Linked DNA regions of Tamandua tetradactyla. The protein of the gene in region 1 interacts with the protein of each later gene in a biochemical or structural test. Links are inferred from orthologs where the notes say so. Each region holds a gene or a part of one and is shown on either strand. Other genes may lie near its edges.

What was found.
Region 2: the proteins of DSG1 (region 1) and JUP form a complex in vitro, tested with the Homo sapiens proteins (2 studies listed by BioGRID and IntAct). The link is inferred for Tamandua tetradactyla from reciprocal best matches to the Homo sapiens genes DSG1 and JUP.
Region 3: the proteins of DSG1 (region 1) and PKP1 form a complex in vitro, tested with the Homo sapiens proteins (2 studies listed by BioGRID and IntAct). The link is inferred for Tamandua tetradactyla from reciprocal best matches to the Homo sapiens genes DSG1 and PKP1.

What each region holds. Positions count from the first base shown.
Region 1 is NC_135344.1:51,946,732-51,956,865, reverse strand, and holds the start of DSG1 (desmoglein-1), read left to right. Parts: upstream 1-6,271; 5' UTR 6,272-6,511; coding exon 6,512-6,559; intron 6,560-10,134. UniProt on the Homo sapiens protein: Component of intercellular desmosome junctions. Involved in the interaction of plaque proteins and intermediate filaments mediating cell-cell adhesion.
Region 2 is NC_135332.1:25,400,555-25,410,266, reverse strand, and holds the start of JUP (junction plakoglobin), read right to left. Parts: upstream 4,141-9,712; 5' UTR 3,961-4,140; exon of another isoform or gene 3,955-3,960; intron 3,516-3,954; exon of another isoform or gene 3,354-3,515; intron 3,345-3,353; exon of another isoform or gene 3,215-3,344; intron 861-3,214; exon of another isoform or gene 801-860; intron 1-800. UniProt on the Homo sapiens protein: Common junctional plaque protein. The membrane-associated plaques are architectural elements in an important strategic position to influence the arrangement and function of both the cytoskeleton and the cells within the tissue.
Region 3 is NC_135330.1:58,340,344-58,350,458, reverse strand, and holds the start of PKP1 (plakophilin-1), read right to left. Parts: upstream 3,851-10,115; 5' UTR 3,574-3,850; coding exon 3,372-3,573; intron 1-3,371. UniProt on the Homo sapiens protein: A component of desmosome cell-cell junctions which are required for positive regulation of cellular adhesion.

The DNA.
Region 1 (10,134 bases):
CAAGATCTCTGTCCCACGTTGCCAAGAAGGTCCACACCCCTGGGAGTCATGTCCCACGTAGAGAGGGGTAGGGTGGTGAGACTGCTCGTTGTGTTGGCTGGAGAGAGAGGCCACATCTGAGCAACAAAAGAGGCTCTCTTGGGGGTCATTCTTAGGCCTAAATTTTAAGTAGACTTGACCTATTCTTTGCGGGGTTAAGTTTCATATGAACAAACCCCAAGACTGGGGGCTCAGCCTATAGCTTTGGTTGTCCACACTGCTTGTGAGAATATCAAGAATTCAACTTTTTTTTTAAAGAATGTTGTGCCATCTAGATTTTTCTAATTGTTTTCTTATTTAAAGATTCACATTAAATATTCTGGACAAAAATACTACATCGGTGACAGTATATGGTTGTCATTGTTTCATTCAAGGCGACACTAAGTTTGATCAGTTGGTAAAATGGTGAGATGCTCTGAGATAATGCGAATGTCCAGTTCCCCAACAAACTTTCGCCCGATAGCATTAACACACATTAGTGCTCTTTGTCTGAGTGAATTATTCCAGTGCTGTGTACAAAGTTAAAAAGGTGTAATTCAGTTATTTTTGTATATTTATTAGCTGGCATTCTTCTCTAAAGAAAGGCTTACTCTTGTCACCACCCTTTTTGAGGAATCCTATGCACTCATGTATTATTTTCAAAGACGATTAAACTTGATTTTTTTTTTCTTTGTATGGGCAGACACCAGGAATCGAACCCAGGTCTCCAGCATGGCAGGTGAGAATTCTGCCTACTGAGCCACTGTGGCCCACCCAAACTATGATTTTTTAATAGAACTCTTTGTCCATAAGAGATATATGCTGTAGTATTTACAAATGAAGTATCTGATATCTGCTGCTTACTTTTCAATTACTCAGCAAAAAAGGAAAAAAGAAAAAAACACATGTGCACAAATGGTATACTTTTAATCCAATTTGATTCCTTTGGGGCCTGAAAAAATTCACATCCCTTTCTGCCTTGTTTCCCATCTGCATCTCCATTGGGGGAGAATGTAGTTCTCCTTAAATTCTCAAAATCTATCTCTTCCATGATGTTTTGTCCAACTCTCTTAGTACAGAAATGATTTCCCTTTTGCAGGATCTCATAAAACCCTGTTGGCCTTTCTACTAGCACATAGGCCAATATGCCTTGTGACAGAGACAAGCCTCATGGCCCCTTTGAGATCCCGTCAATGCTCTAGCCTTCTTAAAGATAGGGACTTCTAGTACCTATATTTAACTCCCCTAGACAACTAACAGTCCCTAGCAGAGCTTAAGAAATGTTGGCGAACTTGAACTTGAAAAAACCACAATCCACAACAGTTTCTGAAAATGAATACCTGTTCATGGACTATACCCACACGTAAACGGACACTATTCCAGACAAACATCAGTTACCAATTTTACCCTGAAACATATCAATATCATCACCCACAAAAGCAGCGTCTTCAGAAATAAAAGACAATGGTGGAAACTATTATGCCCATGGAAAAAGAGGGTGATTTTCACTTTGTTTCTACAGGATATAATAAATATCTTAGAGATATAAATTTGCTGCCAAGGAGTTTCAATATAAAGACATTTAGATCTGCTAGGAAACAGTTACTGTAGTTCCTTGAGAAGAAGCATGGCATCAGAAAAACAGTGTTTCAGAAATACTATTCTGGAAAATAAAGATTAAACAAATTAAAATAGAAGAGTTTGGAGGCAGAAGTTTCTGCGAGAATTGTGGTACAGTAATACAAGGTGATGAGGGCCTGGTGAGGGTCTTCAAATGCAGAAATGGAGAGAGAAAGGCAATCTGAAACAAAAGATGTAAAATTTAAACTGTCACCTGAGGAATTTAGGTAATACACAAAGAAAACAGGAAGAAATCAAATACTGTAGCAACTGATTCTAGCATGTCATAAACGTGTAGTCTTTAACAGTATGAGATTTCTCTAACCTCACAGCAAATAAAACTGGGCCAAGGGTTGCCGAGCCTAGCACACATGCATGGGTCTGCTTACTACACTGGAGGGCAAATCTGTTATCTGTCTCACTCCAACTAGCCAGGAGCCGCTTAAGGGTAAGGGCCATTTTGCATACATCCATCTTTGTAATCCAGTCCCTTGTATAGTGTGAAGCACATCAATAGGCAAAAAAAAAAACAAAAAAAAACATAAAAATTATAGAACTTAACTGATCATAATTTATATAAGTAAAAAGGAAGGACTGAACTTGTGCATGAAATCCATAAGTGCACTCAGGGGCATTAGTTAATATGCACACATGTATGCATGTAGTTTTGGCTGTTTCAGTGTGTTTGTATCTACAGTATAAACCTTAAAAAGAGTTAAAAACAATTTTGAACATTCTACAGCACCTAGCACAGTACTGAACGTGCAGTGGATGCCTAGTTATAATTATTTTTAACTTTTTTAAAGTACAGATAATAATAGTTCAGTCTTGAACTCTCACCACTCTTATTTTGTGAGGCTAAAATCTCATGTAATGCTTAAATCTTAAGATAGCATCCAAGATTCTCAAAATCCTTTGGAACTTTTCCTGCTCATAAATACTTCTATCTAGAGAAAAGTACATAAAGAGGTGACAGCAATTGAACTCCCCTTCTAAAATTGACTAGAGAAAAGTAAAATTGTTTTCCTTAAATCTGATTTAAAAGGAAGAAGGATTAGATGTAGAATCATCTAGCCAGTTAAACTGTCTTTCTGATTAGTTGCTTTAACTTTAGGGAATACATTCAGTCATCAAGACCTCTGTTCAGACACTTAACATCAAATCTTGTGGATTCCTCTAAGATCAACTATTGACTAAGAAGCCATACTTGATACTACAAACTACGATCAATTGATCTAAACCAGGGGTCCATAAACTTTTTCTGTAAATGGTCAGTTAGGTAAATATTTTAGGCTTTCAGGCCACACCCTCTCTGTCATAACTACTCAGCTCTGCCATTACAGAGGAAACGTAGCCTTGGACAACACATAGACAAATGGGTATGGTTGTGTTTCAATTTAAGAAAAGAACAGCAGCAAAACAATGCATGCATTGGACCACATTCGGCCTGTGGGTTACAGTTTGCCAATCCTACTATTTTTACTGTTATTATGAAAATGTTCAAATATACAGAAAAATAGAACATTATATAACTATCACTTAGATTTTAAATTGCCATCATCTTGATATGTACTTCATCTATTTTATTGTCGAATTACTACAAAGAAAATTTCTGTCACTGAGGGATTTCGACCTTACATAACTTAGCATTCACTATGATTAAAAATAGATATATTACTAAGGGGAGTACAAGGGTGGTTCAGTGGTAGAATTCTCACCTGCCGTGCGGAAGACCTGGGTTCAATTCCCGGTCCTTGCACTCCCCGCCTCCCCCCAAAAAAAACAAATAAGCAAAATCAGCAAACAACATTTCAACAAATGATGCTGCAATAATGGATACTCACATGGAAAAATAATGAAATGTGAGCTAAATATATTACTATATCTATATCTAAACCTAAATTTAGTCTATATCTAAATTTCCCCAAATACCTCCCAAATTATTTCTGTAGCTGTTTTGTTCAAATCAATGAAGATGAGTCATTGCATTTGTTTGTTATATATTACAAGTCTTTAAAAAAAAAAAAAAGCAGTCCCGTCTCCCCAGACTTTTTATTTTCCTGCATATGTGGCATTGACTTACGGATGAATCATTTTTGATACTTTCCTTAATATGTTTGCCTTGATTTCTTCTCTGTGTTAAGGTTGATGTTTTTTCAATCTCTTCTAAGTGATATGTGGAGCTCATTAGGGTAATTTCGACATGTATATGAGACTAGAGGTTCATATATAACGTGAAATCATATGCCAAAGAGTTTCTCTGCAATAGACATGTCCATGCTGCGGGTGTCCTGTAAATGAGTTACTGTAATTGGGCTGAAGAAATCGTAGGTCAGTAGATTTATCAAATTTAGTTTAAGATGCTAATTTGTTTTTCAAGAAGGAATCTCAGTTTTCCAAGCTGTGAGCAAAAGCAGAAGCATAGACACTTGAATTGATGTTCTGGGGTTTGCAGTGTCTTAGGAGAGAGGAAAATCCTCCCCCCCAGAAGAATGCTGAGGTCTGGGTCAGCTTGCCAGGGAAATTCCAGAGCCGTAAAAATCACCCCAAATTTCATAAAATGTCCATGAAGTGAAAACCGTTGACATGTAGGGGGCAGGACACATACTAAACAACATTCAGAGTCAGCATAGGGTGCAGTGAGGTGGTCGGAAAAAGCGAACACAGGTGTGCGGCAATGTGCTGTGAGGTCATTACAGATGAGGGGCTGGAAGAATGAGTTGAGAAGTAGGAACATGGAAACAACAGAGGTTTGGGTCGCATGTTTTAAATTCTCTTACCTCAGTGGAATTAGGAAATAAGATCAGTAAGGAGTCAGGAGCAGGGCCTGGATGAACTGAGATAATAAAGGAAACGGAATCAAAAGGTGCTGATTGGAAGCTGGAGAAGAAATAGAGCTCCTTTCAGCTGAGAAGTTGAACAAGGGGTAGTGAGAGAAGAAAGGAAGGATGGTGGGGTGACTCATAAACTAACTCCCCCACCTGTGCTTAAATGCCACTAACTCCTGTGCACTGTCAGGACAGCCTTAGCTCTGCAAGCTACAGGTTTTGCCACACCTCCTCCCCATGAAAGCCGTGGGAGAGGTTAGGTTGCTGCCTCGGGAATGCTCTAGACGGCTGGGATTATTGGGGCCGGGCTTTGAGTTAGAGGTGGAGTCAGGGCTAGGCTTGGGGGGAAGGATCTTTCTATGGATGCAGAGGGCCTGTGCAGAGAATAAGATTGAAAAAACATTCACTTGCCACTTGCCACTGGGAAGCTACAAGCATTGAGCCTTACCTCTCTACTGCTTCACATATTTTCAGATACTACTAATATATTGCTCAGACTAAGTCACAGGTTGACACTTACATTCTGTCTTACTTGGCTAATGATACATTTGACCTGACCATTTCCTTTTATTTTATCCATTCACATCAACCGATTCCCATCACAAATATTATTAATCACTGCAAATAAAAGCAGGCAGTGTATCTCCTTCCCTCGAAGCTCCATGATGAATAGCATGACATTTCAAACCACTATTGAGTAACGCTCTTTGCCACACACCTGTTCTGAAATGGCAGCATTCCATAGAACCTCTGCCCTTCAGTGACAAACCTCCCCTCTGAGACATTCCTAATATCCCTTCAACCATAATCAATATATTATCAGATAGATCTCTTGCTTCAAACTCTGAAGACATCCAGTATCTACAGGGTCCCTGCGACTCACAATGTTCCTAGATATTGCCAAATGAAGAGAAGATAACTTGAGAAAACTTGCGAACACTGCCTCATGAGCAACACTTTATTTTTGCAAAGCTCAGGGCTGCATTCAGTTTCATTTGCATGTGTGGGCAGCCATTTCTCCAGCTTATTCCCCATGTTCTAATTGGCTCACCATGCAGATTCTTGGCTCTGTGCTTGGGCATCGTCACTGACTTTTAACCCACCTCACCTGAAGAGCAGCTTTCTGTGTTTCAATGATATTTCAGCCACTGAGCCTCATTTCAGAAACTATCAGCTGGATTTTCATTGGCGGTTTTGATTTTAATTTACTTTTAATCTAGCTTAGTGATAGTTTTAATTTGATCTCCCTGCATTTGAAAAGGGAGACTCTTAAGGAGAGGAAAATAATTGGGGAGAGAAACTATTCAGTTAGAAAACAATGCTTCCCATGTTTCAGGCTGGTCACTGAAAGAAAACTGTGACATATGCAGAAGACTTTGTAAGTATCATAGTCGTGTCTCGTTTGAATTAATACTAAAAAAAAAAAAGATATCGACTCTCAACATTAACACATTTTTTCCATCTTAAACAACTCAGAAAATAACTGAATCTTATCCTAATATCCGCTGAAATGGAAAATACATCATTTTCTACTTATGACCTGAGGGTGTAGCCGGGAGCACAGCCAGATCCTCTTTGAATAATCTAAGCATCTAGATCACACTTGCTCTTTTAATATAGGAAGAGGGAAAGCAACCTGTAAATAAACCACAGTATGAAAAGCCCCTATCCATTGTCCATCTCTTCACGCTGTTGATCATTTAAAATGCCTGTCCCTGAAAACCGTCAGATAAGGGGTGACTCTCTCCGATGCCCCACAGAGAGCAGCTGGGAGAAGGGTGTGTCCCTAAGCTTCTACCTGGGAGCAACGATCGTGTCAAGCATTTCAGTGAGACCAGCCCAAGTTTTTAGGGTGGGGATCCAGACAGGTTATACGTACCTTCAGTCCTTCTCCCAGAGGAAGGCAGAAACACCTCAAAGCCTGCATGTAAGAACATCTACCGAGAAATTATTTTAATCGAACACCAGCCGAGAAGGGGAAAGAAAAAGAACAGAGAAGAACAAACAAAACTCCCTCGGTTTTGGATGTAAGAAAGCCAGCAGCAATGGACTGGCACCCCGTCAGGACAGCTGCAGCGCTGCTCATTTTTCTGGTAAGAGAACTCTCAAAAATCCTTCACAATTATTCTCAGGGTAAACAGGTGGGAACTTTGCAGAAAATGTTACTTAATAGCATTTCTAAGCTAGCCCTATTAAAAGTTTATGTTAATGACTGGGTGACTTTATGAACTAGATTTTTAAACAGTGTTTCTCTCTTTAATTGAAGACCTGAGATCTTCTTAACGCACCAGCATCAACTGGGGACATCCATCTCTGAGACTGAAATCAGTGCTCGTCATATTGGGAAGTTATTGAATTTGGGAAATCCGTATTACTACTCAGTAACACTTTATTGTCCTAATTTCTCTTTTGCAATGGACCTTTAAACTAAATAACCCAGGAATGTCCTGATTTTTAACCTAAACATTCCATTCTTTTGATGGTTAAATCATTCCTCATAAATTTTAAAGCATTAAAAATAGGATCCATATAAATTAAAATCACAGCAGCTTCTGACTGCCCTGATTATCCAAACCATCCCACTACCTCCTATTGAGGTTATGAGCCATGCTGCTTTTATTTGGAGCCCTATGCTGAGAACCCATGATTTTATTTAAAAAGGCATTTTTAATTTCACCCAAAAAACAACAGTACAAGGATTCATAAATGACACAGTAAGTGAAGGAATGGCTATAATTAAGGAGTAAGAATAATTATTACCATACTTGTTCTTACTCCTGGAGTCAGTAATGACTGTGATATACAAGTTCTACATTTGATGGTGAGAAAAATGTAATGAAATGTTTTTTTTATCACTGCCTCCCTTGCCATGCCTTTGGTTTTCTCTTCTTAGAGATAATGCTAAATGCAGCACCAAAGTTATTGCATCAATTTCACTCATGGTGAAAATTTTAAAATAGTAATCTCAGTGTAGTTAAGGTAATCCACCAAGGCAGGTGCCAGCAAAATCACTCTCCACCTTGACAGGAGATATGTTGTGGTTCATATTTGTTTCTACTTGCTTTTTTGAACTGGAATGTTGGGTTTATACAACAACAAATTAGACTTTTTAACTTCAGTGTACAGGATGAATTTGAATTCTGTTTATGAATTAAAAGGAGTCAACAGTAGATTCAGGGGTAAATGAGCTTCAATCAGCTGGTAGCTTTAGGGCCAAGCTACCCCCCCCCCACACACAGAACTGTGGACTTTTTAATGGATCTCTAAGATAAGTTGATGTCATAGCTTGCTATGTGGCAGGGATCAATGCACATTATACAATATGCCATTTGAACATCTGAACATTTGTGTTTTGCCATATATGAAACACTTTTATCTTTAATGTCATATAAAATTGATCCCTCATGGCCTACTACAGATTCAGCCGATTAAATTTATTCAGATGCTTATACACTAATGGTAATAGAATCTATGAGAGATGTCTTATTTCTTGATTTATATGATTATTTCTAATTAATTACATCCTATAAATTTCCTTTTAAAAGCTCCTTCCTAATTTGTTACACTTCAATAAAAAGCATTGTTTTATCAAAATCAAATATCCCCATTGAACTTTCTCTCTTTGGAGAAAGGTTTATGGGATTTATACTTTGCTTTCTGAGTCTGGATAGTGTGATTTGAGGGGTGTTACTAAGCCATATTTTACCTAGAATCAAGCACACATTTCTCATACCCTTTATGAGAATTATTTCTCAAATAACTTACTCTATAATGAATTAAAATGCTTCATTTCATAGCAACAGCATAATTAAAAATTTTTTTTTCATTTTCTAAGATTTAGCAAATCATAATACATTTTTACTACTGATATACTAGATGGCCTGGGTAACTGCCTTTGGGAGTTATCTAACATGTGTTTTGCTTTAGAAAATAATTTTTCCCCAAAAGACAACCACCACTAAGTAAACTCTTTCAATTATCTTTTGCAATGAAAGCTTATTTTTACACACACACAAAAAGCATGTACAGTATATTGCTAAAGTATATATGATTCTCTGTTCAAAGTTGATAAATAAAAATCCATGTTAGGAAGCATATTTCCCCAATGGTGAAGAAGACCCTTAAGACTTTTAAACTAGTAGTATCTGTAAAGCAAATCCATTTGAGAGCTGGGCAGCTATTTGCTTACAAGCATATTGTACACATTGATCAAAATACCTGAAGGTTCTGGACCTTTGTTGAAATTAGTGGGCTGGAACAGGGAAAATAAAGCCAGAGGAGCTTCTCATAAAGCAGCAAAGATTGCTCCATGACTGTTCCATTATTCAGATAGTTCTCCTGGAAAGACAATAGTTTATACCTATTACAACACAGAAGGCTGAATAAATTTTATTGATTCATTTTTCTTTCTGTTCAGCTTCTGTAAAATCAGTACGTTCAGTGAGGGGGTGAGGAGAAGAGCAGGAATTAGAATACATTTTCTCTAGGCAAAAAGAAAATGTTACCTTATGAACCAAATATAAGAAATCTGTGTGGATGATTGTCACTATTGTAAAAGGTATGGCATGGTCCTTGTGGGAAAGAAAAATAGAATAAGAACTGCTGTGGTACTAGTGATTTCTGAATATTACTTGCAACTTTTCAAGTTTCAATTAGTCAATTTGAATCAATACAAATCTCAAAGTTTCATTCCCTATAAAAGCAAATTCTGCAGCTTAAGTTCAAAGAACAAAGAAAACTATTTCTAACAATTACCAAGAATAATCTGACTTCTTCAATTCATTGTAAATCGTCTGTCTTCCTGGGTATTTCCTCCAACCACCTGATAAGTTAACCCCACATTTTGAACTTAGCTACAATTCTTTAGTATATAAGCAAGAGGTTTTCAAAGTATTTCTGAGCACATAGGCTAAAACACAGAAACAAAATTTATTTTATTACATAGTCCATCCACTTATTTGACCCAAATATCCAAGCTCCCATAATTGCGTTCACTGATGCCTAAAGCATGAGAAAGAACAAACTAGTAGAGACCAAACAGAAGAGAAGCAAAAGAGGAAACTCTTTAACCACACTTTCGAACGCAAAATTTATACTTTCTTATGCACAGGCTGTAGTGACATATATTGTAGATGTGAACATTTCAGTAAAATATTTTCTGAAAAATAGAAGCAGTATACCTATTAAATGAAATTTATAAATTGGATTTAAGCATGAGCATTTCCATTTATATGGTGTTCTTCAAAGCTTTATTATTCCTGTGCAGATTTAGAATGAGCATCATCTTTCCTCTTTACTAAAAAAGGAATACAAATTTGTCACCACTGCAAATTTTCTATCACCACGAAGTCGTCGTGGAATCCTTCACATCTGTAGAAATCACTGCATTCATTTACGTAAGAAATATATAATGAAAGTCTTTTGGATTCACAAAGGGATGAAACCGTTATCAAACTCAAACCAAAAAGCATTTAAGCCAAGTATGACCCTGCCTCTGGTGTAAACTTTCTTGAGTGATCAAATACTAAATGAGACCTCAAAATCCTTCTTAGCACAGACCTTCAGGAAGTCACTGTCAGCTGGTTTGTGTCACCACAGAGTAGAAACATTTTGCCATCCCTGATTTAGGTAACAGAAAATAACTAAAGCACTGGGCAATGCTGATTTG
Region 2 (9,712 bases), on another chromosome or scaffold:
ATCCCAGGGACGACAGGTTCAAGCGCCAGGCTGCCCTTCCACATATAAGGTTTTCCAGACCCCAATTCCAAGGGCCATTCTGGTGTCAGGTGCCAATTTGGCAGAGGTGCCAGGCACAGGCAGGTCTAAGAGGATGGTCTGATGCCAGCTCCTTCCTCAAGAACCAAGGCTGGTCCCCACCTCAATCACCAGAAAGGCCCTCCTAGCAGCTGAAAAACTACTCCTGGGCCCCCTCCTCACCTCCCCGGTTTCCCAGCCTCCAAAGCAGAGGACAGCCAGCTCTGCACCAAAGAGCAGCCTGTCAGCCCCAAGGGGTACCATCCAGCAGGACATTAGCCCAGGGCTAAATCTGACCCTTGTTTCTCTCCATGCCCTAGGGAGCAGGCCACCCTATATTTTTGGCGCAGGCCCTGTCCCCAGAAAAGCAGACAACTCCCACTCCCTATATAGGGACAAGCCCAGAACAACCCAGATTCTTCCCAGCTGGAAGCAGGAGGCGGCAGCAGCTTTGACTCCTGCCAAGACCCCCCACCCTCCCGGCCCCCAGCCCTGGGGAGGTAGCCCCCATCCACTGGGAACTAAAAACCAAGCTACAGGGGAGGTCTCGGAGGGCTTGAGGCTTAGGGATGAGTCACTTCCACCCAACATGCCTTCTTCCACCTCCACTACACACATATACCTTTTGGGTCCTTCTCCCCTATCTCCCAGACAGAGACCCTCAAAAAGGGGCAGCAAGGGACTGTGTAATACAGTGAACCCTCGTCAGGGTGAAAATGTTCTAGAATTGATTGTGGTGATGTATGCACAGTTCCGTGAACATCCTAGAAGACAGTGATTGTACACTTTACATGGATTGTATGGTATGTCAATTTATCTCGATAAAACTGCTTTAAAAGGGGGATAAGGGGCAGTGCAACAGTGGCTCAAAGTGGCTGTATTCTCACCTGCCATGCCGGAGACCCAGGTTCAATTCCCAGTACCAGCCCATGTGAAAAATCACATGGGGGTGGGGGTGGCAACAGGAAAATTCTGAGCTGCAGCAGGGAGTTAGGGGAGGATGAGCTCTGGGCTTGTAGGTAGCCCAAAAACCCAAATGCCAGTCCCAGCCCTGCTCAGGGGCTTGCTGTGCAACCTTAGGCAAGTTACTTAACTTCCCTGAGTTTCTGTTTCTTCATCTGTAGAATAGGGATAATGATATCTCCTGCCTCTAAGGATTGTTGAAAGGATGAAGTGAGGGCTGTTAATGAAAGTGCTTGGTAGCTGTAAAATCCTCCCTTATTTTTAAATTTTAAAAGTTACTGTTTATCAAGTACTCCCTGGGCAGATAGGTACTATTGTTCCTCATTTTGTCAAAGAGGTCACTGACACTCAGAGAAGGGAAACGACTTGACTACGGTCACATAAGTAATGAGTGACAGAGCCGAGATTCAAGCCTAGCTCAGGCAAAGTCCAAATCCCTGTGCTGAGAATTTTACCCCACTGAAATGCCTTTTCCAGTAACCACCCCTCAGCAGGCCAGTGCGTGGCTGTCTCCTTTTCCAAGAGCTCCCGGGCCGGCAGAGCCCCTCCCCTCGTCTGTGCTCCCTCCAGGGGCCTGCAGCGAGAGCCCAGCCCCAGCCTGACCTCCTAGATTCCTACTCACAGCATTCTCAAAATCTCAGTCCTGGCGGCCCAAGCAGGGTGCTAGAAGGTGGAGCTGGGGGTGGGGTGGGGGGCGGGGGCAAGTGGAAAGGGTTCCTATCACCCAAGCTGGGGCTTGATCCAGCAAGAAATGACTAATCCAATCCTACCTTTTCTTTCCTTCTCCCTCCTCTAATATCCTCCTCCTCCCCTCCAGCAAATAGCCAGCTTTCACAAGCACCTCCTAGCAATAGTCCTGAGTATTATCTTTTCATCAAGGCCCCAAACCAGATTACCTAAACGAATCATCCGGCCAATGTAATTACAATGCCTTCCCCTCCTCCACCAATGCACTGCGAGGAGAAGCGAAAACAGGATATTTTTGCCCAAACTCCAGGCCCCTGTGGCTCCCAAGAGGTGTAGTTCCCTACCAGTCCCTTCCCCAGCCCGGACTACTGCACAGGAATGAGCCCTGGGGGAAGAGGTGGGGCTGAGTTACTGGTTTGAGACCCCCTCCTCCAACTCTCCATCCACAGCCTGGAACAAGGCGGTGGCATCTTCCCAAGCGGGCCTGGGTAAGCAGCTGGGATTCTCCCCTCTAATCCCCACTTCGATCCTAGGACTGAGGGAAAGATGGGTCTTACATATCCCCACCCCACCCCCAAGGACTGGACTGCTGGACTTGTAAAAAAGCCACACCTCGGGTTTTTAGAAGGCAGCGTGGAAAGCCTGGTTGAAATATCCAGCTTGGGTGCAGGAGTTGGGAGACGTTCCTCAGGAAATAGGGGGAAGAGGTTCGGAGGGGACTCTGCTCCAGAGAGCCTAGTGTCGAACAAACTTCCCTCCAAAAGCATTCCTCCTGTCCCACTTTCGCCATCAAAATCTCGCAGGAAGGTGGGGTGGGTGGTAAAAGGGCTGCAAAAGCTTCCAGAAGGAATGTACCTTTATACTTCAGAAATCAAGTAGAAATCAAGACCCATTGCTCCATGCTCTTCTGCCTCAATTACCAGGCAACTAAAGAGCATGAGGGATGGGTGGAGAAAGAAAAAGACAAGAACAGCCCATCCCCGTTCCCAGTCTGGCCCAGACCTGCCCCACCCCCCATTCCTGGGATGGGGGTGCCCAGAGCTCGGGAAGGAAAGCCTCCTCCGAGGGGGTGTGGTGGTCCCAGGAGGCAGGAAGAGAAGGAAGAAGCTGCTTCCCCTTTTGGCCCACAGCCCCCACCCCAGGCCCCACCTCAGGCCCCTGGGGCCCAGCAAACAGGATGGAGGCTGGGCTGGGGAGGACAGGGTCTAAGCACAGGGCTGGCCCTGGTCCAGCCTGGGGCCAGCTGGGGGAGGGGCTCTGCCCTCTGCAAGAAGGACCCCAGAAGCCTGGGGTAGTTCTGGGCAAGGAGACAGGAAAACCCCCAGAGAAAGCAGCAATGAATACTTCTTCCTAGAAAGTTTGCTTTGAGTGATTTTTCCAATAATAAGATGTTAGAGAAGAAGGGTAGTCCTGTTTCCATATTAACATTCTGGAAGTCACAGCTACTGGAAACTGGGCCAGGTGACCTCTCTGCTCAGATTCCCAAACACAGACCCCCTCCACCCAGACAGAGCCGAGCCGCGGGTGCAAACATCAGCTGGCGCAGACCCGACCCTGCACAGCCCCACGGTCACCCCATCTCGTCTCCCCTGGGAAGCCGTAGCCCAGCGCCCACGGAACGGAGGGAGGTGCCCCAGGTACAGTACCGACCGGGCTCCGGGAGTGGGAGGGCAGGGCCTCTGGCCTCCTTGCGCTCACCTGCTCGGCAGGTGGGGACCGCGTCGCTGAGAAAATGTGTGTTCGGCCCCCAGAGTTGGGCAAGCCGGGCGCAGACAATAGGGCCCCACCCAGGCCTGGGGGAGGAAGGAGGGAGGGAAAGCGAGGATGACGCGTGGGGTGGGGTGAGGGTGGCCCCAAAGAGACCAGCGACAGCAAGTTTCCCAAACAGTAAATTTCCCACTGTAGAGTGAGTGCGACCTGGGACCCAGGCACAGCTGGCCAAAGCCTGCTCGGAAGGCGCGGAGAGAGAGGCAGGGACCCGGCGTCGGGAAAGCTCTGCGGCCCCCGACGAGAGCGCGACCCGGGAGGCACCTGCCCTGATCCCTCCCAGCCCTTCTCACATCTCCCTCTCCTAGAGTCCCAGTCGCGTTCGGACCAAACCTCGCGCCCCTTTAGTCGCCGCGCCCAGGTCCCAGCGCGCCCCCTGCCGCTGGTGCAGGGTGGCGCCCCCCTACCGCCCTCCCTCACCTGCCCTGAGTAGGCTGGGAGCGGCCTCCCTGTCCCTAGCCGCCGTTTCTCTCTCCCCAGTGATACCTGCCCCCGATCGTCCGCACCTGCGTATGAAACCTGGCCGGGCAGGGTCGGGGACGGGCCGGGATCGGGGCCGGCGCGGGAAGCTAACTGAACTCGGCGCGCTCGGGCGGCGGCTGCTCCGGACTCTGGCCAAGGCAGCAACTCAGTAACCGAACAAAAGGCGAAGGGACCTGACAGCCAAGACACGCCTTTCGCCCCCTTGAAGCTCCGCCCCCCAGGGAAACGCCCACCCGCTGAAGCGAGTTAACTGGCTGCCGCGCCTGACAGTCCCAGCGAGGGGCGGAGCCTCGCGCCCAGTTTTCTACCACGGCCGCCTCTGTTTATCCGCTCGCCATTGGCCCCAGGGACTGCCAGTCGGCTCTGGGGACTGACTCTTAACTTCAGGTCCCATCCTAACTCCGCACCTACTGGCTAATAAAAGGTTACTTCCTCCTGATTGGGCAAGGGGTTGTCAGTAAGACTCAGGAAAGACCAATGGGAGAAATGGGGTGTATCTTGCCCCACCCTAGCTCTGAGCAGGTAAGACTCATTTACTCTCCCCCCTACCTGTCCAACAGGTGAGTCAGGGAGCGCCCTGGGAAAGGACAGACGCCTTCAGCGGCCAGCCAACTCAGCTACCAGCCAACTCAGCGTCAAGCATGATGCTTCTTTGGGCTTATTCACCCTTGTTCCAAAGTAGTAATAAAATATTTGTATCGCATTTCTGAGAGTTTTTTGATGGGTTGGGATTTTTCCCCAACAAAAGATGCCATGCTCATGGGATTTAGAATTAGAAGGCCTGGATTTGGATTCTGCCACTTATTAGCTATATGATGTCTAAGATGGGTACATTAATTATATCCATCTCACTGGAGTATGTGGAAGTTAAAAGAAGTAAGATTTGTGATAGCACTTGGAGAACTAAATGTTAGACTTTAACTATATGTTTTTTTAATTCTCAATACAATTCTAAAAAATTGTTAGGGCAGCAGAACTATGTTTTATTTCACAGATGAGGATACTGAGGTTCAGAGAGGTCACAGAACTAGAAAGTGGCACATCCTAAGCCAGAAGCCCTTTCTTCTAATTCCAAGGAGCACCAAGCCACAGATTCTCTTGGTGGAATGACAGTATAAGCATAAAATGTCAACGTAGTAGGTAAGGGTTGGGGAAGAGGCAAAAAAGAAGCACTTGAGAGACGGAGGAGCAATAATTTGGAACAAAAATAGACAAAGTTCTGATGTAAACAGATTTTGGTGAGCTTGGAAGAAGTCATGCAGCAGATCTACAGGGAATCAAGTACTGTCATAAAATAAAAGGGGGGCAGCAGGCCCTTCAGTAGTGGAAGAACCCAGGTTAGATATCAGAAAGAACTTCCCTAATGACATGTTAAAAAAAGACAAGAATATTTCCTTTTTGTGGTGGATGAATCCTTACTGAAATGAAATGAATGTTTGCTGGTGGCTGTACAGTGTGTCGAGGATTCGACTGAGAAATTCATTCATTCATCACATAGGTATTGAGCCCTCACTGCATGTAGGCTCTGGGTTAGACCCTGATGACACAGAAAATCAACATGATTCCAACCCTCTGATAGCTCACAGAGGGATAAGAATAAATAGGTCATCTAACCCAACCAATGGGTGGGAGGTAGGAGTGGGAAGTGGTTACTCAGGAAAGGGTCCCCCTCTAAAAAAAGCTTTATACCCCAGAAGCTAGCACACAGATAGGGCTGGGTGAAGGTACCCCACCAGAGAAAAGAATGGCAGCTGAACATTCTCCCTTCTAAAACTCATGCCCTCCAAGAAGTCTTACTGGAGGGGACCAGGGAGACATTTAATATTCCAGGATCTGTTGCCATTTCACATGCCAGGGCCACTGCTCTTTGCCTTGCTTCCCACCACATTCCCTTCCGGCTTATCTCAGCATCTTTATCCCCACCTCCCCACCCCCCCACCCCACCCACTGACTTGCCAAGCTGCCACACAGGGCAGTGGCCAGCCCGCACACTGAGAGGACAGTGCTTAGAATCCTAGGCTGCCTCCACGACTGCCAGGGTTTCACTTCCTCCCCCTTCCACCTGCCACATTCCCCTCCCCTGCCTCCCTACTCCACCTGCCCCTCATCTCTGCTGTCCTGCAGGCGGGTACCCACCAAGCCCACACACACTTCCCCAAGCCTTGCTTAACCCTCCTCTTTCTCCTGACTTCAGCATATAAACCAGGCAGAGCTGGCTGGCTGCAGAAGGGTGGAGGAGTCTGCCTGGGGTGGAGGGCAGAAATAAGGCTTTAGGATAGCGTGTGTGTGTGTGTGTGTGTGTGTGTGTGTGTGTGTGTGTGTGTGTGTGTCTCCCCAGCAATGCTCCCTGAGTCTCTCACCCTGTAACATGCAGCAGCACGCCACTCCCAAATCTAAGTGCACAGGTTGGGACTGGGTAGAGGCAACGCAGCAGCATCAGAAAGACAAATAAAAGCTGTCCCCATTTCCAGATCAGGGGATTTTCTGCACATTTATTAAGTGCCTACTATATACTTGCCAGACGGTAAGGACAAAGAAAAGAACCAAAAAAAAAAAAAAAGGCTTTGACTCTAATCAACTCTCTATAGGAGACTTGATTGTGTGGGGATGGGGTAGAGAGGTGGGGAAGATTGAAGATGAGAGCCTAGCTGTAGGGACGGGGGTCACTGTGGCCCCGGGCTCCCATGGAGCCTGATGTTGAAGGAAAGTCCCTTCAGTCATCTTCTCCAGTCCCCTGCTCCAAAGCCTTTAAAGGCAGGGATGTCCCTTCTTGACAAATTTCCAGGAAAGGAGATTCCTTAGCCTCCCTTATAGCAAAAAGTCCTTGCCCTCTTATTCTTTCTAATGTCTATTCTCAGTTCACATCCTTGCAGTTTAAACTCACTTCTCTCACCCAGAACTCAGTGAAAGCAGAGACCCTGGGTCTCCCAGAACCTATATGGTTAACTCGGACTTGCAGCTCTCCGGGGTCTCTGAATAAAGTATAAAAGGGCCCCAAGGTGGCCTGATCCAAGGTGCCCCAGAGACAACAGTGACTGGCAAAGAGGGGCCCAATGGATGAGGGGCTGCTGGGAGGGAGGAGAGCTAGTGGTGGGGGAGGGCATTTCACTTGGGGAAGTTGTCCAAAACAGTCAGTGTCAGGGCGGCCAGGCCAGCCAGGCCGGCCCTCCACCCTCCCAGTTTAGCAGCTTATCTCACTTCCCCTCCTCCTTCAGGAGGCCACTGGGCCATATAAGGAGGTGGGAGAGTTTCTATTGTCTATTCAAACACAGCCCTTTCTCTCCGGGACCCTTCTCCCAGATAGAGGGCAGGCAGAGACTTAGATCCACACACCCGCACACAAATGCACAGCCTTCCACACTCACACCACAGGGAGATGTGTTCACTGGTGCAGATTCAGATACGCGAACACTAGCCCTGTCAGTTTTGTCTTCCCAACACAGAGACACACACCATTCTTCCCTCCTCTTCACCCTAAGGTGGCCTAAGGGAGAGCCACAGGGGTGAATTGAGTTGCCCGAACTTCAGGCTGATAATGGTACCTATTCATCCCAGAGCAGCCCCACCCCTGGTATCGCAGCAGCAGAAAATGAGAACAGACGACTGACCAGGAGTTCTTCCCGGTGCAGTACAAAAAGCCAGCGGTGTGGGCCCCCCAGCCATCTCCCAGCCCAGGGGCAGAAACCTTAGACCTGGGGAGGAGGGCTCTGTCCTGCACCCTGCCCTTTGGAAGGTCCCGCTGTGGTGGCCCTCCGCCACGGGGGGCCAACGCGACGAGCCTGCACCGACCGCATACCGCGCCCCTTCCAGACCACGCTGAGTACCCGGAACTCCGCAACTGCTTGCCCAGCACTGACCCTGCTTCCAAGGCCTGTGGGCCTCTTACTCTGGGGCACCATAGCTGGTCTCTGCACCCTTAGGCCAGAGGAGTGACAGGGGCAGTTATAGGGGTGGCGGTGGAGGGTGGGGGTGGGATGGGCAGAGCATGGCCATGTGAATTGGGCATTTACATGCATGTGCTAGAGGCCCTTGGTGTAAGCAGAGCCAGGGGAGGTGGCCCCCCAGGGGACTGGGGCCCTGGGCTGCCATGTTCTAAGAAGCTTGAGGATTCTAAATTCCATTTTGACCTTTTAGGTCATTGTGGAACTATACTTATCAAGGTACATTTTAGTTAAGAGTCTGGTGGCTGGATTTATACCTTAAATATTTAGACCTATAGTGTGTGCACCTCTGTTTGTAATCTGACCCCTGCTGGTGTTGGGGGTGGGCTTGCTCAGGGTGACCCTCTCACTTTCAGGGTTTGGGGGAGAGGGGCCTCCAGGCTCCCAAAGTCTCTGGCTGGTGTGGACCCAAGCTTGGCCTGAACAGAGCAGGATGGTGCAAGGCCCCAGAGTTGGAGTGGGGCAGGGCAGGGGGGCTGCCCATTTGTTGCTGCCCTTTGTCCAGGGGAGGAGCCTTGAGGCCAGAGGCTGCTCAGGGTGTGCTCAGCAGGCCAGGGAAGGACTCTTAATTATAGTCGTAGGTCCAGTCACACTTTACAGCAGGGAGTGTGGGCGTGATGGAATGTCAGAGAGAAAACAGGGAGACAGGAAAACAGAGATAGGATGGCACCGAAATAACCCAGCCAGGGTGAGATACCAGCAGCCAGTGGTGGTAGGGGGAGAGGGCAGGACCTCTCCAGAGAATGCCTGTGTCTGGGTCGCTCCCCCTTAACCACGCTGAAGCCCCCAAGTGCAACTGCAGCACTTCAAGAGCCCAACAAGGCTGGTTCCAAGCATAGGAATTGTATTCTCGCACTGGGTGTCCCTGGCTCTCTGAGCAACCCCTCCCCCTCCTGCGTGGTTTTGGGGGAAGGGGAGATGGGAACCTGCTACCTGAGTCACCCCCCTCCCTGCTCCTGGCTAGGGCGACTCCATGCACAGGCTGACATAGCTGGGGCCCCACCCACCCTGCCAGCCGGCCTGCCCCTCCCTCCCCATACAAGCCAGGAGAGATGCATGCCCTGACAGGCGCTCTTCCCACGGCCACCACCCCTCCCCGCTTCGCACACATACATACACGCAGAGGGAGGCAATGGCAGGAATTTCTCCCCCACCTGTTGACAGTCCCGGGGACGAAGGAAAAGTCTAATCAGAGCTGCCTTGTATATAGAGGGAAGCAGAAGCCAGAGCCAAGAGAAGGCCTTCCCCTAAGGCCACACAGAGCAAATTTCTGACAGGGCTGGGACTTGAACCTCTGGCTTCCACCCATCAGTCCATCTCTCTAGGTCTCTTTCCACCCCAATAAAGGTAGGATGCAATGGAGGAGATGAGAATCAATTTTTCAGGAAGTCAACTTGAGGAGTGCCTTCAGGAAAGCCTTGGGATTGGAGAGCCAGGGCTAGGGGAGGCGGCCGGCTGGCTGGCCCTCCTCCGGGACCTAAATCAATAAGCCTGGCCTAACTAGAAGCCTTACTTCCTCTACGCCAATACTACCAATAGCCAGAGCAATAGATTATGCAAAGAGACCCCCCCTCCTCCCAGGTCCCCCATCTTCCTTCCCTGGGCTCCACCTTGGTGGGAACTGGGGGCCAGGACTTGGAGGTCTCCCAACCTTGTACATTAATTCCATCTTCGCCATCCCCACCCCAGGGCCCCCAGAGAATTGAGAGTTGAGATCCTTAAATATTTCATCAGCACTTCAGCCTCCAGTTGAAGATACAGCCAATTTACAGCTCATGGATAATTTATGGCCCCAGCAGAGACCTGGAACTCGT
Region 3 (10,115 bases), on another chromosome or scaffold:
AACAGCACTTGCTGTGAAACACCCTGGAATTTTTGCATTTGTTGTAACAGGCTGATGGAAATTTTGGCTAATATCCCAACTTCAAGCCAAGATACATTGCAAAGAAATAGGAACTGGTTCATTTAAAGTTTAATTAGCATGTTTCACTGCTGGAACAAAGCTAAAGCTTTACCATCTCCCATCATAGCTTTGGTCCAGAGAAAACAAACCAAGAACGGATGTTTGCTCACTGTAGTCAGGAAAGGACAACATTCAAGAGAGGATAACGACAGATGCCGTGCTCAGGCAGAGGTTCGTGCTGAGAGACAGCCAGACACAAATACAAAAAAGCCAAAAGAGGGATGGAGCTTCTAAGGCAGGATGCTTTTCCCGCGTGCATTGCAGAGCTAGCACCAGCCTGTCCCACAGGAGTGGTCGGAGTAGTGTGGAGGACGGAAAGGATGCAGGCATGACATGAGGGGACCCAGGCACCTCCCCTGGCCCAACGTTGACCCCCTACACCTATCTCTGTCTAGAGAGAAATACAAGCATAGCAATTTTAGATGGAAAATGGTACTTCTAAGAACTTCACAGATGTCTACAAAGAGAGTTGCCAACAAACTAGGCAAATGGCACTGGTAATGTCTGGATTTCCCCGGAATGAGGAATATGATAAAGGAAGCTTATTTAAGCAAACTTTCCATGTGATGTGTGTTCACAGTGGTAGCAGGGGTTATGGGGGGTTGACTCAAAGGAGATTTGTATTAAACTTTAGAAATAAGTTTCACCTGAAGTGATAAAGATCCTGAATATAGAAAGGTATTTCCTTTAAGGCTGGATAAGCAAGGCACCAGCCCTTTACCCAACACAGGGAGGCTCATTATCAACTCCTGGAGGGAATTTTGCACACTCAGTGAAGTCAATTTTTCCCCCCAAAGATATTTTGCTGAGAAGCCATGTCTCCCTAATTTTCCTCTTGCTTCAGCGGGGAAGAAAACTACCTCTCAGATACCTCATGTGCACAGGGACTCTCAGAAGATGGGGGAGCAATACCTAGGGGCCAGTTCAGGAGAAGATCATACCTACAGGCCACAGAGAAGAGCCCCCTGCCCCAGGACTGCTTGATCAGGGCGAGGTGACTGTCTCGTGTTTTGCATTTCAAGGAGGACATGGATGAAGTCAGGCATTTGGTGCCAGGCTCCTTTCATGGGGCTCCTTCTTCCAGCCCTGGACTCAATTCCCCCTCCCTGATAAAACAGAAAAGAACCCTAGTAGAGAGGGCACTGAGGAAAAGATGGTCCTCTTGCCAGGGCCATAGTGGTCTATTCCCAACTGCCCTACACGGGGCACAGGAGAGGCAGACACTAGCAGAAAATGTGTGGGATGTGAATGGTCTTCTTTAGGGCAGAGTTTTAACTAGGGGGCCCCAGATGGGATCCAGGGGGCCCAAATGGGTCAAAGACTCCAGAGGAAACAACTCTTTGCTCTTGGAGACTAAAGGAGAATCGGAGCCTGTCCAGGGGAAGGAGGGGAGTGGCCTGGGGTATGGTCCTTCTCTGTTTAACTTTTCCTTCCCAGGAGCCATAGGAGGCCCAAGAGAAGAAGGAGCAGAGTGGATAAAGGCAGCCACAGAGCCAAGCAGGGAACGCTGGGCACCTCTGATGGAGAAGATGGGAAATCTGATGAAAACAAAGCCAGATAAACCAGAAACACCAGCTCCAAGTGGCCGAACTGCCTTGCCCAGCTAGGGCAGGGCTGGGAATCTCCCCTGAAGCTGAGGGTAGAGGGGAATGTGCCTACGTGGTCTTTCCTTGGAGAGCCCCATTTCTGGAAAGGTATCCCTTAGCCATTGGGGTCAACCCTCATCTGGCTGGAGCCCCATGCCAGAACTTAGGGTGTTGAAGCAGAGAGAGAACAAAGGAGACGTTACCCACAAACACAGGCCAGAAAGAGAGCACTCGTGACAATAGAGGCTCAGCCAGCACCCCAACAGGTGGGAAGAAGGAGGCGTGCTTGAGGCACCTGGGGCCAGTTTGAGATTTTTCCAGAGCTGTGAGCCTGGAGCTCAGGCCAAGGAGGAGGTGGGAGCGGAAAGGGAACAGGTAAGTATTGTTCAGGGAAGAGAGGAGGTTGGCTTGACCAGTGCCCCTTGATCTGCAAAATAAACAAGGACCTGTCTCTTTCCTCCTTACTACCCTTGCTATCACTAACTCTCTCATAAGGGACTTGCTCGACAAAACAAATCTTGGTTGACCTGTCCTACTTTGCAATCTGCAGAGTCTTCATTAACATTTTACTAAATTTATCAAAATCAAAAATACAATAGTAATAATTATAAAACTATAAATAAGTAAAAATTACATACTAGTTTTTATGTAATTCTTACTGGGAATTCTTTGTATTAAAGTATATGTGCTAAAAGTTCTCCACAATGTCTCTGTGAAGTTCTTACTTCTTCTAGTTTGGGGGTTCTATTTCTCCCAGTCACCCCCAGTCTGGGGATTTTGGCATCCACACAGTCTGCAGTCCAAGGGAAGAAAACTCAGGCCAAGCACCCTGATTGGAAAAGCGCCGGTGAGGGCTCAGGTAGGGTCCTTCCTGAATCTGATGGAATCCCCAACCCTGACTTACTCTGCCTTATCCCATGCTTGTCTTATTCCCTTTCTTTCCCCTAAGATGATTGTTACTACTCAAGCTGTGTGGTGGAAGGAGAATCCAGTGGGAAAGGAGGTTTCCTGCGTTAGCGACGGGAAGGAAGGGATTCTCTATCCCTGTTCCTGTGGTCAAGGGGCTTGCTCGCTCCTGAGCGACCCTAGAACCAGACTTCTCTCCTTCCGCGGGAGGCTCCCGCTGATGTGCCTGGGAGCTCAGGTGGCTAGGCCCAGCTCCCGCCGCCTCCGCCTTCCGCAACGCCTCTCCCGGGCCCGCACCTGGGCTCATCGACCACTCCTCGCCACGCCGCGCGGTCCCACAGGATTGGGACCCTGCCCGACTGAAGGCGCGGTGGAACGCAAAGCCCGGGAAGGGGACGGAGGAGGGCGTAACACCCTCGGCGACCGCTGGGTTGCGGGGCTGGTCTCCTCCCCTCCCCCTAGCAGCTCTCGGAAAGAAAAGGACATCCAGGTCCGCGCTCCCGAGCTGCGGGTCCGAAGAACATACCGGCGGGAGACCCTCAGCCTCGGGGCAGCGAGCCACTTTCCGCGCTCACCCGCGCACCGCCGAGCTCCCGGAGCGGGCGAGCGGGTCCCGGGCGGGAGCCTCGTGGGAACCGGCGGGGAGCTCAGACTCCGCTCAGACCCGGTCTGGCGCGGGCGTCCCCCTCCCTTCCCCGGCGCACCTCGGCTCCCGCCCGGGGCGGGGGCGCACGGACCACGCGGGCGCCAATCCTTTACCTCGGTTGGAGTGGCTCAGGGTGGACGACTGGGAAGCCTTGGATTTCTGTCGCTTGACAGTCATCATCACCTGCTCCTGCACGCGCTGCCGGCCCGACGTGCCTGTCTTCATCTTTTGGTCCGACGGCAAAGCCAGCGTCGAGTTGTCCTGGTCCTGGAAGCATTCGTACGCCAAGGCGGTCTTGAGCGGCGAGTGGTTCATGGTGGCGGGAAGCACGCGCGGACGCGGGGCCTGGAAGAGCAGAGAGGCGCGGGGAGGTGCGGCGCGGCGGGCGGGACGGTACTCTTCTCGCGCTCAGCGGCTCCCAATGGCCATAGAGTAAGTGGTCCGCGTGAGGGCTCCCGCCAGCTGCTCCCGGCGCTTGCACCCTGGCTCGTCCTCTCCTGGCACTGGCTCGGCTCGCCTTCCGTCAGACTGGATATACCACCCCTGCCCTGCACCACCCACTCGGCTCGGCGGCGCGCTGCCTCTGCTCAGTCGCCGAGCTACAGGGCACCGCTGCTGCGGAAGCCAGCACTCTCGGGGGAGGGGGAGGGGGAGGGGGAGGAGACGGGCTGGGCTGCCTATCTGCGTCTGGGACAGTCGGTATCTTCCCTCTCTCTCTTCCTTGCTCTCCCTTCCCCCTCCTCACGACGTGTAGGTGGCGAGGCTCCCGGGGAGACGCCCCTCTGTCCTGCTCGCTCAGGGAGGAAGTGTGTGCTCAGGGCTGAGAGAGATCTTCTCTCGAGGAAAAAGGAGGATCTCTTGACCAGATGGGAAAGCAGGTGCCCATCCGCGTCTGGCTGAGGTCACGGCAGAGACCAGCCCTGTGGATGGGGGCTCCCAGACTGACCGTGGAGTGCTCAGTCTCAGAAGCCTCCATTCTAAGGCAGTTTACCACTCTGAAGGGAGTGCGGTGGGACACGAAGCCCTTGTCAAGGACTTGAGGTACAAAAAGGGTATACCTGTCATGCATGGATATGCCTGGTATTACACCTTGAAGGCTGTGGTCAAGGAACTCCATTCTTAGCGCCTAGAATGGTGCTTGGCACATACTAGGTGCTCAGTTTAAAAAATACATTTGAATGGTTGAATGAATAAATGCTATTTAATTTAAAGTGAATTAGGCCTAGTTTGACTCCAACCCAGATCCTTACTAGAAGTGCATCTTGCCTATAAAACATCCCCACTGCAGGCATATTACTGTAGGACCCCTATATATATTCTCTTTTGCCCGTACATACCCCTGGATGCACATATGCAATGATATTGCATTCCTGTAGCATCCTTTTCAGGCACCAAGATAGCCTTTACCTGTGAATTTGGTATGAAACAAGAGCTGGACATTTTTAAAACTACTTTGATGGAAATCTTTCTAAAAGGTATCATATTCCACCTTGCCTCTTTAAGCAAAAGATAAGATCACATTTTACACACTTCTTGGTGACAGGGGTTTCTGCTTCTGGACTTCCATTACTGAACTGGGTAGTGGTCCAGTCTTGTCAGTCTTTTAGTTTGCACGTCTTCTCCAGCGGTATTATATTGTCAGCTGTCACTTTTATCATTTGTAGTGACCACTCACAGCTGATCTATCCCACTTCTAGTTTGCTCTTCTAATCTGCAGAGGAAGGAAAAATCAGGAATCTGCATTAGTTAGGAATTGTGTGTGGAGGAAGGGTCAAGACGACTTGAGGATCCATGAGAATTCCACCCTGAGAAGTGGGGGTCCTATGCAGAGAGCCCCAGCTTTCCCCCACAGTGCATTCCTGGTAGAGCGGATTACTGTAAGGCAGATTATAGTTCCTAATAGAAAGTTTTTTCTTTCTATTTAGCCCTCTAATTGAGACTTTTGTTCCCAAGAAGTCAGCATCAAACAAGCTAGAGATGTGACCATCAGTATGTCACAAACGCAGAGGCTCAACACCTGTAAAACTCTGTCATCGCTGAAAATTTTAAGATTCTGCTTCCAGCCATAGAATGTCAGTGCTCAATGCAGTCTTGGAAATTATCCATCCCAGCCTCCACATTTTACTGATGAGAAGAGGAGGTTGTGCCTGCGGTCACCAAGCTAAGTCATGGCAAAGCCTCCATTCTAACCAGTTCTGGTGACTCCCAATCCAGTGCTCACTCTGCCACTGGCCTCCCTTATAAACATCCTATAAAATGGGCATTACAGTACAATGTACACCAACTATAAAAGGGCCCCAATGTACTATAAAGTACACATAACAACATATAAAAATACAATACTGTTGTATCACACATTTGGCCTATCTAAGAACTAATATGCTAGCTATAATAAGTGTTAATTAAGTCTTTAAATAATGATAATTTTGCTACCTTCCAGGATGTAGAAGAGCCCTGAAGGAGGTGATTTGGAGTTGCCCATAGTCCTATAAAAGGTGAGTCCCAGGAAGCTAAAACTGATTATTTTAAAAGTTGTTTCCAGGTTCAGTTATTCTATCTGTTTCCCTATCATTTTGCTATTGATACTATTTTGAAATATTGATAGCAATAGTCAACACTGACAGGGCTCTTAGGAAGAGCTAGGTATGGGCCCTTTATGGGGACCATTTATTCAAATCCCCACGAGGACCTGTGAGGTGGGAACCAACACTATCATCTCTTTTATTCAGATGAGGAATCCCAGCTGGTACGTGGCCAAGCCAGGCCTGGGCAGGAAGCCTGGGCACTCAGTGCAAGTGCAAGCAGCCGCCTGTGCATTCCCCCATGGAAAGCAGTGGCTCAGAAACTGTTTCACAGACGAATCTTTCACCAACATCCATCTCTTTCCTTCACAGGGCATGAAAGTCAGACCAGGAGGGTTTCAGTTTTAGTTGTATCGCAAACAAACTTCTTGATCCTAGATCAGTCCCTCCCCCACCCCCACCCCTGGCCCTAAATCTGTAAGTGAAGGCGCAGCGTCGTTGGTTCCTAAGATCCACTCGAGCCCTAACACTCTATAATTCTCATGTCAATTGTGGGGACTTGCAATGCAGGAGACTCTTGAATGGAGTCCTCTGGACAATATTTTCTGTGTCTCCCCCTTGTCCTCAAGGGGAAGGAAAAGACTGGAGGTGACAGAGGAAGTGCTATCACCACCGAATCCCCTCTGTGCCCCAGCATCAGGTACTCTCTGCATATATTAGTTCAGTCAGTTCTTCCAATACCCCCTCGAGGAGTTATTATTTTTCCCCGTTTGGCATGAGGTTAAGTCAGTGGGGAAGTCTGGGTTCAAACAAATCTCTGACTTCTGGCCTGGAGAAGGAAAGGAAAGGGTGGTCAAGTCACACGTTTCTGGCCAAGGTGTGCAAGGTATATTCAGGCTGGAAGATTTATTTGGGGGCTCAGGTCCATGGTTTTAAGCCAGCAGGCCGGAGCTATTTCCTTGGCCTCTCCCTCTTCTGCCTGCTGGATCCCACCTTCTGTGGGGCTTCAGAAACAGGCCAGAGAAGAGGGTAATACTCCTGAAGTGAGAATAGATGTCACTAGGCACTGTCACACGAACTGATCTCTCAAATGGGATGCCCCCAGGTGACAGAACATATATTCAGATGGTGAAAAAATTCTAATGGGTGTGGGTTGATTTGAATTTGGAGGTTGTGGGGGTAGTTCGAGGAAAGCTTCCTGAAAGAAGCTAATTTAGACTGGATTCTGAAGCAAGATGAGTAAATTTTCATCTTCAAAGACATTGGAATGAATGAATATGAATGAGGTTCAAATTCTGTTTGCTGCCTGCCCTAGAGCATTATGCGTGACCCAGATTTCACTCTCCATCATCAAGGCTTCTAGTCTTCCTGAAAGTTAAAACATACCATGACCTGTGTGTTCTGAGTTCTCAGTGTTTAGTTCTCAGTGACTAAAAGAATGGAACAGCGATTCATTTATTCAGCAAGTATTTATTGAGCATCTAGTATATGACAGACCCTCCTATACACTGGAGGATGTGATGGTGAAGAAGACAAAAGCTCCGCCCTTACAGAGCTCATCTTCTGGAGATGGGGAAGAGGTGGGGGGCTGGGCCAGTTGGGAAGACCAGCCTGGGTGAAGGCTGAGAAGAGGTCTCTGGGGCTTCTGCTGCCTCCAAAATGACAGGACCAAAATTTTTCCTTACTCAGTTCCCAGCTCCCCAGAAGAGGTGACCACCTTCACCTGTGCCCCAAATTTCCACAGACCACACACCCTTGGGAGCTGGGGACAGGGAAAGAGGTAGCTTCCATTCTGGACCCCTAGACCTGCCAGGATGGGCCCACCTTATTCTGCCTTGTTCCCCTGCAACTGACCCATGTTCAAACTGCTCTGACAGCTGCCATGGGGCCAGTTCCCCATTGTCGAGCCTTTTCTAGCAAGTTCCTTTGGCCAGACAAGTGGATTCCTCAATGGCTACCTATTTCAAGAACCCTACAACTTTCTCTGTGAACCACTCTGCCCCCTCCCCAATCTCTAAATAACTTCTGCATTTTCTCCCTTATCGTTTTCTCTCCCTTCCACCCCTCAGCCACTCACCCCATGCGGATGCCTGCCTCTCTGCCTTTGCATCTGTGCTACTCCCCCGGCTAGTCACCAAGGAGTGCTACTCCTGTGCTACTCCCTCGACTAGAGCACCCTCACCTAGTCACCTGAATACATTCTGAGTGCCCTGACGGGCTAGACACTGTTCCAGGCCCTGGGGAGACAATGATGAAAAAAGGCAGCCTGGGATCCTGCTCTCGCAGGGCTTACATTCTAGTGGGGCAGACAAAGAGTAAGCTTGCACATGAATGAAAAAAGTGATTATGAATTGTATTCAGTGCAGGGAAAGGACCAAATGGGAGGCCAACAGAGAGAACAGAAGTGGGTGGCGTCAGTCGTGGTGATGAGGAACAGACAGTGGGCCGAGGCCTGGAGCAGGAGGTCGGTCCTGAGCCCATCTCAGGAGCAGGAGCAAGGGCGTGGGAGCCTCGTGTGTCCCTGGAAGGGACAGGCCAGTGTGACAGTACAAGAGGGGCGTGGGCACAAGACAGGGCTCACAGGCAGTCAGTCAGCTCTGTGATGATGGAGATATCCTGTATCTCTCCTGGCTATTTAAGTCATCTAAAATGAAATGAAATAAAAAATTCAGTTGCTCAGACACACACGCCACATTTCAGGTGCTCAGTGACCGCCACACTGGACAGCGCAGGACCAGGCACATCCTTCTGGGCTCTCACTGGGGTCTGAACTTTATACTGAGAGCAGTGAGAAGTCACTGAGAGGACATCAACAAGGCGGTGACCAGCCCCTCCTGCCCCCTCGGTGCTGAGCAGGACAGCGTCCCTTCAAAATGCACATCTACCCGGAAGCTCTGAATATGACCTTATTTGGAAGTAGGGTCTTTGCAGAGCTAATCAAGGTAAATTGAGGTCATCCTGGATTTAGATGGGCCCTAAGTCCAAGAGATGTCGGTTTATAAGAGGAAGGAAATCTGGACACAGACCCAGACGCACAGCGGGAGAACACTTTGTGAAGAGACAGGAGAGCCTGGAGGAGGCCAGGGGACAGCCGCAGTGGAGATGGAGGGCGTGTCTCCAAGCCCTGGAGCTCCTAGGAGGAGGCGTGGGGCGACCAGCAGAATTAGGAGAGAGGTGCGGAACAGTCTCTCCTCTGAGCCTGCAGGAGGAAACACCCCTGCTGACACTTTAATTTTGGACCTTTGGCCTCCACAATTGTGAGGCAGTACTTTCTGTGGTTTTTAAGTCACCAAGTTCATGCTGATGTGTTACAGCTGCCTTAGGAAACAGATGCACCCTCTCTTCCTGCAACTTCTCGATCCTTGCTTAGGAATCCCCAAACTAAAGTAAATACTTTCTCCTGGGACCCTTCATGATTGGCACCTGCCTTTGTTACAGTCCTCATCATACTTGATTGTTTTTGGGTGTTTACATGACCTCGAGCAGCCCGAGGGAAAGGACGTGTGCTATTTCTTTTTGTTTTCCTCGCTGTCTGTATTACACGTACACATTCGGTGCTCAGGAGTGTTTATTTTGTTGAACTGCAGCCACCCTCTTGCTCCAGAACCCCCTTCAGGCCTTTTCCAAGCCTCTTGAGTAATTTGGGCTTGGCTAATACCTTTCTAAAATCCAGTTTCTTGCTTAAACTTTGCCCTCACTTCCTGCTGGCAGGGCCACCTCAGAAATGCACATGCAGCCAGCAGCCCGCACATGTCTCCCTGGGCTGCGGTGAGAGCACAGGGAATCTGTCTTTCTGACTTCCTAAGGGGAGCTTACATCAGGAAATCAGAACTTGTTCAACCTCCTCCATCCCCCGCCTTGTCCTGAAAAGCAAATCCAGGAGCTCATATTTGCCAGGATTTGAATAAACAAAGCTTCCTAGGTGCTCAGTGGTGGTTCCTTTCAGAATCCTGGACCTCCCTGCCCTCAGGGGGCTTAGGCCAGGAAGGGAGCACACTCCCCCTTGCTGAGGCCTGATGCCACCTCAGATGTCGGCACCTCCTGAGGGGACAGGACTGTAGGGCCACTGTGCCAGGCAGGTACAGACGGTGCACAGAGGGGGTCCTGGCCAAGTCAGGAAATGGGAAACGTGGAGGGGGTGGGGCTAGTGGAGGCACGCCCCCAACCCTTAGTCCAGCACCCCAATTGCAGGATTGGAGGACGTGGCCGTGGATCCCCCTATCCATTAGGGCTGGGCTAGAGGGATGCCCGGTGCCCATTTATACTAACGCTGCTCTGCTCTGGAAGGAGGAGAGAGACACAAAGGGCCTGGGGTACAGACGCCCAGAAAGGAGG